Nothobranchius furzeri: one gene and its partners. The protein of the gene in region 1 interacts with the protein of each later gene in a pairwise test. Links are inferred from orthologs where the notes say so. Each region holds a gene or a part of one and is shown in the gene's direction. Other genes may lie near its edges. The genes, in order: myod1, id1 and id2a.

What was found.
Region 2: the proteins of myod1 (region 1) and id1 interact in a two-hybrid assay, tested with the Homo sapiens proteins (5 studies listed by BioGRID). The link is inferred for Nothobranchius furzeri from reciprocal best matches to the Homo sapiens genes MYOD1 and ID1.
Region 3: the proteins of myod1 (region 1) and id2a interact in a two-hybrid assay, tested with the Homo sapiens proteins (2 studies listed by BioGRID). The link is inferred for Nothobranchius furzeri from reciprocal best matches to the Homo sapiens genes MYOD1 and ID2.

The regions. Positions count from the first base shown.
Region 1 is NC_091749.1:52,557,088-52,561,407, forward strand, and holds the start of myod1 (myoblast determination protein 1 homolog), read left to right. Parts: upstream 1-1,483; 5' UTR 1,484-2,558; coding exon 2,559-3,089; intron 3,090-4,058; coding exon 4,059-4,128; intron 4,129-4,320. UniProt on the Homo sapiens protein: Acts as a transcriptional activator that promotes transcription of muscle-specific target genes and plays a role in muscle differentiation. Together with MYF5 and MYOG, co-occupies muscle-specific gene promoter core region during myogenesis.
Region 2 is NC_091743.1:40,070,869-40,073,934, reverse strand, and holds id1 (DNA-binding protein inhibitor ID-1), read left to right. Parts: upstream 1-1,223; 5' UTR 1,224-1,323; coding exon 1,324-1,677; intron 1,678-1,919; coding exon 1,920-1,955; 3' UTR 1,956-2,451; downstream 2,452-3,066. UniProt on the Homo sapiens protein: Transcriptional regulator (lacking a basic DNA binding domain) which negatively regulates the basic helix-loop-helix (bHLH) transcription factors by forming heterodimers and inhibiting their DNA binding and transcriptional activity.
Region 3 is NC_091758.1:30,331,804-30,335,508, forward strand, and holds id2a (DNA-binding protein inhibitor ID-2a), read left to right. Parts: upstream 1-1,315; 5' UTR 1,316-1,533; coding exon 1,534-1,887; intron 1,888-2,149; coding exon 2,150-2,206; 3' UTR 2,207-2,210; intron 2,211-2,871; 3' UTR 2,872-3,184; downstream 3,185-3,705. UniProt on the Homo sapiens protein: Transcriptional regulator (lacking a basic DNA binding domain) which negatively regulates the basic helix-loop-helix (bHLH) transcription factors by forming heterodimers and inhibiting their DNA binding and transcriptional activity.

The DNA.
Region 1 (4,320 bases):
GCTTGGTGGTTGGATTGTCTTGCCTTGACATTGTGTACCAAGATGGGTGAGTCCATGAATGCTAATTTTCAGTGTGACATAGATCTGTCAGGCTTTCTTATCAAAGTGTTTTCCTGTCTGTTTGCTACTGGCGGCAAATGCAGGAAATGGGGTAGGAGACTATTTTCACATTCAGCTTGTATGTTAAACTCAGTTGGACAGATCATATTTAACAAATTACAAGTAAAAATTGGTTTCTTTTTGAACTTGGGCTTTAAACTATTTAATGTTAGCTGGATGTTAAACCAGTCCCAGTAATAATTTACCCATGGGGGAAATGGATAAAATAAGAAATATTACCAAGAATTGGATGCGGTTCTTTGGAAACTGCAGTTTCACATGTCTGTGAACGCATGAGGTGGGACATGTGAAACCGTGAGATTAACACCTTCACAGGAATGCTCTTTCAGATTCATTTCAGTCACTGCAGATGAAATTCTATGTCTCACATTACTGGGCTGGATGTGCTCATGTTCATCGGTCAGTTTGTGGGGGGTTAACAAACCTGGAAACATGATCATGTGTTGAAGCTTTTAACATAACCAGACTTTTCATTAACAAACTCCCCAAAAATCAGTGGATGTTTAGTTTTTTGGCTATTTTCAGAAAACAATGTTTTTGAATGGCATTGTGAATATAAGGCAGCCTTACCTTAAACCGGTTTGTGTTCAGTCAAATTTAAAAAATGAAAAGATGAAACATGTTTAAAAATTTAAAAGAGTTTTCTTCATTCAAGACTTTCAGGAAAAGAGTACAGTTTATGAAATTCTCATCTATGATTCGGATGACGTGTTGCAGATGTTTCTAAAATGCTCTCATATATAAAAATAACAAATAAATAAATAAATCAGACATCAGGTCATCATCCAGAGTCCAGCAGCAGCTGTTTACTGGCAATAAAGACCACGATGATGATGACGGAAAATATTTTTTGTCTGACTCTTGTGTCTCACTTTCCCTCACACACACACACACACACTCACACACACACACACACACACACACACACACACACACACACACACACACACACACACACACACACACACACACACACACATACACATACACACGCACACGCACACACGCACACGCACACGCACACACACGCACACGCACACATGCATACATGCACACATGCATGCCTACATAGAGACAGAGAGAGAGAGAGAAAAGAAAGAAAGAAAGAGAGAGACAGAGAGAGAGTAGAGAGGGAGGGGGGAGAAAGAAAGAAAGAGAGGGGAGAGAGAAATAGAGAGAGGAAAGAAAGAGAGAGAGGGAAATGAAAGAAAAGAGAGATAGAAGAGAAAGAGAGAGAGAGAGAGAGAGAGAGAGCGAGAGAGAGAGAGAGAGAGAGAGAGAGAGAATATTAGATGCCTGTTGAGATTTTGATGTTAGGAAAACAAATGAAGTGCAATGACGTGTTGTGTTCAAGTTGTGTAAAAATTATAATTTTTATAAAGTCCTACTGATCTGAACAAGATTTATAGAAAAAAAAATACAAAAAGTATTCAGGTTTTGCGAGGTTATACGATAGTTTTACCTCAGATGCAGTCTTCCAGGGGTCTCTGCCCTGCTGTGTTATAGTTTGTTTAGTTGTGTTAGTTATTGGAAACCAAAAGGCAATATCATGGCTCCAAAAGAAGACAAATGTTATGGTTCCTTTTTATTGGACAAATGATGTCAGAGACACTTCATGTATGTTTTTCAAGACTTCTAAAACACATTTCATGTTAAATATTTGTGTTGAAAAACATCGAGCATATGACTGAATCAGAGCATTTTACTAATACCGTTTCACATATTTGTGCTGGACTAGGATTAGTGTGTTTCTCGGGTCATTTAGATCAGTACTGAAGATATAAAGTAACTAAACTGTTCTGATGCTGAGACTGCTGTGAGCTCAACTCTATCAGGTCTAGTAAACGCTGAAATCATGTCTGGGTTCTCTGATAAAAGCTCATGAGTACAAATCTTTCCTGTTCCGATCTCATGAAAGAGGAGATTCATTTCAGATGAATCCTGAATCTCAGCGCAGGAGTTCTAAACGCTCATGATTGGATAAGATACGTTTTTTGAGCTGATGAGTCTGGATGTAAAGAGGTTCAGTCTTTTCTTTTTTGTGTGTGATGACGTGTTTGATCCCTCAGAGTTGAACAAGGACTCAACAGCTGACTCTTTGATTTGTGATGATGGACTTGACTGTCGTTTTTATTGCTTCCTCTTTATGTTTCGTCCCCTTTACACACACACTCACACCCGACTGCACCATTGGTCACTTGGGTCGTGGCCCCGCCTCCACACTGACTGCTATATAAACCCGGACCAAGCCAAAGCAGCTGAGGTTACACAGACTGGCCCTTTAAACGCTCTGTCATTTTACTATGTTCTGGTCAGATGAGTTTGAGATTTGCGAGTCGTCCTAGGAGACACTTCATGAGGATTTCCTTCTAAAGTCTGATATCAGAGGAGTGTCACAACAAAAAGACTTTCTGCTGCTGCTTTCAGGGAGTCGTTCAATGGATTTGTCAGATTTTCATTTCCCTCTTTCATCTACTGATGACCTCTATGACCCCTGCTTCAGCACCAGCGACCTGAACTTTTTCGATGATTTGGATGCCCGGCTGTCACACGGCGGCCTGCTGAAGTCAGAGGACCACCTTCATCACCACGTCCCATCATCAGAGGAGGAGGACCAGCATGTGCGGGCCCCTGGAGGCCTCCATCAGGCGGGCCACTGCCTGCTGTGGGCCTGTAAGGCCTGCAAGAGGAAGACAACGCACGCAGATCGGAGGAAAGCAGCCACCATGCGAGAAAGACGGCGGCTCAGCAAAGTCAACGATGCATTTGAAACTTTGAAGCGGTGCACGGCTTCCAATCCAAACCAGCGTCTGCCCAAAGTGGAGATCCTACGGAACGCCATCAGCTACATCGAGTCTCTGCAGGCGCTGCTGCGGGCCGGCCAGAACGACAGCTTCTACCCGCCGCTGGAGCACTACAGCGGGGGGTCGGACTCCCCCGGCACCCACTCCAACTGCTCCGACGGCACGGTGAGTCTGGGAACAGCTGAAGGGTTCATGTGCTGCCCCACGAAATGTAAGGAATGTGACGGGAGATTTATTTTGGGCCACGGTGATTAATCTGGACAAATGCAACCTTTAGCATGGATCCCAGTGGATTTCAAATGTTTTGCACCTAAACAGAAAGTTTGTCAAAATGTTGTCTTTCAGTTACAAAAAAAATCTTTTTTTGTTTTATTACTACAGAATTGACTAATATTAAAGCAAAAGGTGTTATTTGATGCTGAAGTTATTTATTTCAGGCTGAAAACTTTATGTGCTTTACTTGATTTGGGTGGTGGTGAGTATTATCAGCTTACTGTTGATGTGTCATATTTACCAAAATGTTATTTGTCATCTCTAATCCCTGGACCGTTCTTCTGACTTAACGTAACATTTTTATCATTTTCATCATTTCATTGAGCAAGTAGCGCACATTAGAGTACCAGGAGGGGAAATGTTTAACTCTGTGAGAGTTACCGTGGACAAAAACCAACATTGTTGATTTAGTTGTTTTTTTAATCAAATCAAATTCTTCTCTTTCTAAATAATAAACTGAACACCAGTTTTTGTTTTATTTACACATTTAAAAACAACATATTATATATACATATTATATTTAGACATCTCAACTTTATGATGTGGGGTGAGAGCACATCTTTAATAATAATAAAATTAATCTTTTTTTTTTACAGTGCAAGACATGTTCTAAAGAAATCACTAAATTATACTCATTAAATCCAACCAGTGTGTGTGTGTGTAATCACAGAGCTGTTGTTAATCATAAGATTTGTTTTAACTTGAACATATTACTTATTCAAAACAGTGCTAAAAATTAATAATTTTAATGAACTTTTGAACCTGAAATGTCTCTTTTTGTCCATCTCTACGTGTTGTGGGTGTGAGTCTGAGTAAAGCTGAGGTTTTAAACACTCACTGATGATTACGTTTTATTTTCAGGCGGATTTCATCTCACCATGTTCGAGCAGAAGTGAAAACAGCGATTCTTCTTATGTCAGACAAACAGACGGTGAGCTCATTTAGCACGTCTCTATCTACCGGAGTCAAAATGTGTGCATCTGCTACTTTACATTAGATTTCATATTATTAACATTAACAAACAGATCCAAGGGTCAGGACATTTCTTTAGTCTTTTATTTCAAAGATCTCTTCTTAAATAGAACTTCTTTTTTATTTAAACTCTTTTTGCTAATTTCGTATA
Region 2 (3,066 bases), on another chromosome or scaffold:
GATACGACCCTTTGAGTCTTCATGAAAGTTGAAACAGTCTGTGGGACTTTAAAATGATCTACCTGCGCCCTGAAGAGTCATACCAGCTTTGGTCTTTTGATCTTTAAAACAACATAAATAGGTAAAGTGGATGACAATAAGCAAAACTATTTTCTGTTGATATTCTGAGAGTTCAGCCTAATAAAACTTTTGTTTGTAGAAGTTTTCCTTCATCTTTAAAGGAGATCTGGGAGCTGAGTGGAGCTTCAGGAACCACAGGGACAGATTTAGTAGTGAAAGTGGGCTGACTGGAGGAATCCAGCGGCTGTCTGTGTGAGAATGTGGTAACATCATAATAAGGAGTCCTCCTCCTCCTCCTTTGTCGCTCCGCTGTTACCCGGCTGTCCTTTACTCTGCAGGTGCGGGGCGGTAATCTCATCCCGCCGCTTTAAGGTGATAAATGGAGGAGAAAAGGTTCCAGAGCCAGTTTGTTCTCAGGATCCTCCACGCAGGTGAATGGAGGAGCGCGAGCTTCCTTGTTTGACATCTCCACAGAGACCGCCCGAGCGGCGCCAGGCTGACAGGCGTCAGGGCTCGGATGAATGGGTGACGTCACCACGCTGGCGCCTGCCAGTCTGCTCGGGCTTGTTTGGACAATCTGGGAGGAGGGAGGGAGTGATGTGATCTGAGTGTGCACACATGTGAAGGAATCTGCTGCGTTCTGGGAGAATAGACAGTTTTGAGTTCTTCTGCTGGACACATTTAATGTTTAATAACCAGGGAAGTGAAATCAAGCCTCGCCCCCAACAGGTTCACCTTCACCTTCCCCGGTTACTGTCCCTTTGTCCGCCACATCTGCAGCACCAACTATTGTGAGAAGCAAATCTGGGGCACTGTGGTAGCCTAATTGTCAGCGCCATTCATCCCATTCACTCCGTCCCATCCCACACACCCTACCCGGCATGCACCGCCCACCCTCCGTCCCCAGGCAGTCTACACCTGCAGAGTACCCAAGCCGCGGACAGCTGGATTCCCACATATTACCCATAAAGACACACATTTGTTTCCATTTGTAACGCCATCCTTCTAACAGATTGTAAAGTCTGATAACCAGTCGCGCATCCTCATTGGCTGAGAGAGACGCACAGCACCGCCCTGTCAACACAACCGCACATCTCTCATTGGTTGACTGCTTCAAACTGGACCGCGCAGCCACGCCCCCTGCTGCTGCATGCCTATAAACCAGAGGAGGTTCCTCCATGTCAACTAGACAACTGTCAACACTGACTGAGAAGATCTCTGAGAGGAGAATACTCTTGACTTACGCCTCCTAATCAGCACAACATGAAGGTTGTTGGATCTACCTGTGCCCTGAAGACCAAGGTCGGGGGAGAGATCGGCCTGTCCGAGCAGAGCCTCGCCATCTCCAAGTGCAAGATCCCGCTGCTGGACGAGCAGATGAGCGTCTTCCTCCAGGACATGAACAGCTGCTACAGCAAGCTGAAGGAGCTCGTGCCCACCCTGCCCACAAACAAGAAGGCCAGCAAGGTGGAGATCCTGCAGCACGTCATCGACTACATCTGGGACCTGCAGGTCGAGCTGGACGAGCCGGAGAAGAGCCGCCAGCACGCCGTCAGCGGCGCGCCGCGCACTCCGCTCACCACGCTCAACTCGGAGCTCGCCAGTATCTCAGTGGAGGTAAACATCCAGTCAGTCACACCTGTGGTAACATACCTGCGTGGCTTACGTTTAACGTTTAAGTCGATGCGCAACATGCGTGCGTAAAAGCTGGTTCGCCATCTGTGACAGATCATAGATTCAGTGTGTGTGTGTGTGTGTGTGTGTGTGTGTGTGTGTGTGTGTGTGTGTGTGTGTGTGTGTGTGTGTGTGTGTAGACTACATGTTCTAACCTCCTGGTGTTTTCCTTCTCCTTCCTGCAGAACGGATGCTCGGACGACAGGATAATGTGCCGCTAAGATCCAGTGGAGCACCTCCCCATCATCCCACCGTCTGCGCCCGCCAACCAGAACCGACAAGGCGACTTGATGTGAATCCACATCTAAATCCTGAGCCTTGAACTGTGTAGGGACGTTTGAAACTCCCAACTGTTAGAAAAAGGACATCCTCAGGCCGAGATGGTCTCAACCAGCTCTCGATTCCTCCGAGGGCTCCTGGGACCAGAGGAGCACCCGTGGTGTCCAGATGCAGAAGACCGGGTTAGTCCGGGGGACCAAGACAAGTCCAGAGCAACCAGCGCTGCTCGTAGAGTTTTACGTCTCTGTTACACTCTGTATAATCACGTGTACATCATATACAGATCTCAATATTTTGTGAAAGGAAAGCTATTTCTCAGATTCCTGAGCGACCAAACTGTATTGTATATTACAATGCCACATATGTGAAGATATTGTTTCTTGCAATGTACTTTATTTGCGTTTTTATTAAAACAAGAACACTATTTTTGAACAAGAATGCCCGTGTTGTGTCTGTTGATATGAAACCAGAAGGAGAATGAGACAGATGATGTAGTTCTGAGGCTAACTCTGACCTCTGCTGTCAGAAGCTGCAGTCATCCAGGTGCCACCAGGCTTCAGCTGCAGGTAGACTAACATAAAGGCTGTGCGGGTCCCTACAGCACGGTGTCAGGTCAGGGGGAGAGTTTGTCACTAACCAATGCATTAATTTCAGACGTGATAAATTAAACATTAGCTCAAGCGTTCATAAAATGCTCGGTTTAGGGGTAAACACCGTGAAGCGGAGTCCCCGCCGGCTCCGCGGGGGTTAAAGCGGCTCTGGTGTGGAGATTTATTCCGTCTCCCTGGTGCGATGTTTTTCCCATTTCCCTGCGGTGCGATGCGCACAGCTGCAGCCCGGCGTGGCCAGTGCGTGATTGTGTTTGTGTGATAGCTTTGTGCCAAGGGCAGGGGAGGGCGGCGGGGCCCAGACTGAGCGGCGCCGCGGCACACCTGGGGAAGTTCAGGTTAAATAGCTGCACATTCCTCAACACACAGCTGATTGAAACATTAACAAACAGTAATCCACGGGCCAGGCCGCAGATGGGCCGGGAACCGGGCCAAACACACACAC
Region 3 (3,705 bases), on another chromosome or scaffold:
TCTCCAAAGAGCGAGAGGGGCGGAGAAGGGGAGGAGAGCAAAGGGAAGGGAAGGCAGGGTGAGGCTGCTGCTGCTGCCAGTGGGGCGCTCAGATTTGCACCGATGTGGTCTTGCGCCAATTCATCACCTGGCTGTCAGGCATCAGTCAGGGGCGTCGTGCGAAATGAGTTCACAGCTGTGGGAGCGATGGGAAGAACGGGAGAAAATGGAACAATTCTTTGGCGCCAGATGTGGACGCAGACTGCAGGAGTTTCAGATTATGTTAGAAATGCATAAAACAACAACTAAAGGAGGAACAGAACCGCGCGTAAAACAGAAGCACAGATTGTGTTTTTCTGAATAGAACATTTATTTGGGTTCCAGCATCTCCGATCTATATCGGCATTTTATAATGCAAAAGCTTGTTTTCTTTCTTTCTGGTGTGTTAAGTATATTAAAATTACCTGAAAATGAAATTATATTTTCTAACACTCATGAAAATGTAGTTTCCATCTCCTTAGGAACGCGTGGGTTGCTCCATGGATCAAACCTAAAGCCCCAATCCACATCCCAAAAGCCTTCACCGGCCCCTGGGGGTAATTACTTTGCAGCGGCTCCAACAGCACCCCTGTCAACTCCAGCTGAAGAATGGAGCGTGTAATTCCAACAAACAAATGGCTCATTCAGGAAGCATTAAAATGTCAATTGTTATTAATCACTTTTTTCACGTGCTTAGTGTCACATTTTTCAATTTCCACAATGCCGACGGCCATCAAGGTGCACAGGATACGTTTTATTATATTTTAGATTCTGTTATATTTCCAAATTATTATTCACTGTATACGCCAAATTTACTATTAAACGCGTCTCCAAACTTTTTACGCACGTTTTGCGCGTAAAAGCGCAAACGCTTTAAGATTGGATTTTTTTTTCTGCAGGTAAAAGCGATTTTATTGTCCTGATGGACCCTCTGGGATTTTGGTTCCTCACAAACTTGCGGGCTGATGTAAATTAGGGATGATCAGACGCGCCTGAGCTTGGTGACCAGATCGCCAAACATCTGAGTCTGTCATCCACAAGAAAGGCGATCACAAAGGCGATTTAAAAAGCCCGTTTGGCTTTTAAATAGTTCAAATACACAAAAGCTTTCACGATTTACACCAAAACGTCCCCTTGTCTTGCTCCTGTCCACTCATATCCATCATTAATTTTCTTGAGCAGAAACAGGTAAGGGCTTAATTTTCCCAATTGCCCTCCGGAGCTGCTGGAGCGCTCTCTGTGTTCCGCCTCCAACATGCGTTGCCAGTGGTAACGTGATGGAGAGTGGGCGTGGTTCGAGCGAGAGAAGCCAATAGTTGGTGCAGAACACGTTAAGTGACAGCTTGGATACTCCCTATCAGCGCGTTTGACCCGCCCACGTCACAAGCACGGGCTGTCATCTATATAAACCACACTGACAGCTAGGTAATCCAGTCTGATCGCTGATCGTCTGACTAAAACAGGACTTACCAGAAAGAAGAGCGGACGCAAACGCCTCCTAACTTTCCTGACAGAATGAAGGCAATAAGCCCCGTGCGATCCTTCCGGAAAAACAACGCGAATTTTTCGGAGCACTCCTTGGGAATCTCTCGGAGCAAGACCCCGGTGGACGACCCTCTCAGCCTGCTGTACAACATGAACGACTGCTACTCCAAGCTGAAGGAGCTGGTGCCCAGCATCCCACAGAACAAGAACGTCAGCAAGATGGAAATCCTGCAGCATGTCATCGACTACATCCTGGACCTGCAGATCGCGCTGGACTCCAGCGTGGCGCTCACCAGCCTGCATCACCCAGCGCGGCCGGGGCAGACTCCATCCAGGACCCCCCTGACCACCCTCAACACAGACATCAGCATCTTGTCATTACAGGTAATTACACCGGAGCTGAAAACACTCTCATACACGCGCACACGCACAGATCCACTAAGGTGTCTTTTTTATTATCTGAGCGCAGAAACGGCGCGCCTCTGCCGATGCGCACAAAATGGCTTGTTGGGGGCGAAAGAAAATGGCTTTTTGTCTTCCTTTTGTTCACAAAGACAAAAAAATCCGCCCAGATTGTTGCACCTTGACTGAACCGACGTCTGCGCGGAGACTTTAACATTTGGTTTGTGTGTTTGTTTGTTTTCAGTCCCCGGAGTTGCCGTCAGAGCTGATGACAGATGACAGCCGGACCCTGCATCGTTAAAGCGGTAAGTAGGCTGTCCTCGTGTCTGCTGCTGCAGTCTGTCCAGGGCTTCTTCCAGCCTGTCTCCCAGTCTGCTAGAGCAGAATGGAATAGAATTACCACTCACCAATCCATTTGTTCCCCTGCTGACGTCTCACGTTGCTGTAATGATTTCAGTATGCGTCTTTTCTCGGTGTTGGTGTGAAAGAAACGCAGTTAGATCGACCAAAAACAAAATAATCCTAAAAAAAAATGAGATTTTGAGTTTGGATCTGAAAGAAATCCCCCCCCATTCTACTGTTGTCCTAGTGGTGTTGCCTCTTGTGTCTGTAATGAAGAGCATCTGCAACAGGAAAATAATGGCTGTTTGGATTACTGCTACTACGATGTCTGCACATAATTGGTACAAGAAGTGGGTAGGCGCCAGCTGAGCGGCAATTACGCTGATTCTTCCCCAGATTGTAGGCTGAAGTTGTGCGAAAAAGTGCGTGCGTGCACGCGGCCCCTCCCCCGTTCCCATCGTGTGTGTGTGTGTGTACATCTGGAGCGCAGGGTTTGCTTAGCATTGGGAGTGTTTGGTTAAATGTTAAAAAACTGCGGCTTCCTCCCTGGCGCCAGTCTGTCCGGATCTCTGCCCTGTGTGCGTTTTCTAAACACGCCTCTCTCTCTTTCTCAATCTTTTGCAGGTGTTTGGTCAAGACGCAGAAAAACACGCGTGCGCGCGCGCACAGGACCTGGGGAGCAGGACTTTCCTCCCCACCTCTTCAACCTCTCTGTCCTCCAGGCCTGGACTTTTTCTTTTTCCACTTCTGCTGAAATCAAGAGACTTTTTTTTTTTTTTTTTTTTTTTTTTTGCTTATTATGGGACAATCTTTATGTGATGTGTTTTCTGTTTGGACACCTTGTTATTTAATTTAAGACTTCTTTATTTGTGGGTCCTTTCTGGAAATGGAAGGCGCATTATGTTCCGGAATCACAAGGATTAACTCCCGTTCCCTCACCCCTTGTGTCCCCCAATTCTCCTTGTTGAACTTCGCTTTTTTTGCGGAGGTGGGAACGTGTACATAACAGGCAACCTGGTTAGTTACTGTAAAATAATAATATTAATAATAATAAAGGTTTAGTCTTGTCTTGTCAGAATTGTTGGCACATGAAGGACTGGACGATGTTTGAAAGAAAACAAAAAAAGGATCAAATGAAACTTTGTGAACTCTCACCGGGAGTTAAAATCTTGTATAGTTGCAGGAATTTGAAACTTCTGCAAAAAGTGTAATGTTGTACTTAATTATGCTGAAACTTTTTATAAAAGTAATGTAAATTGTACCTTTTTATACAAAATAAATTAAAAACACAACGTGAACATGTTTCATTTTAAGGGGGGATATTTGGGGGTGTGGAGCGCAAAATCGGCTGATCCAGAGGCGCGCGCGCGCTGATTTGACATCAGGGACAATTGGAGTCCAGTAAGGTGTTTTTATGTGACCCATGTCATCTAAAAGACTACATCTCCCAGAAGGAAC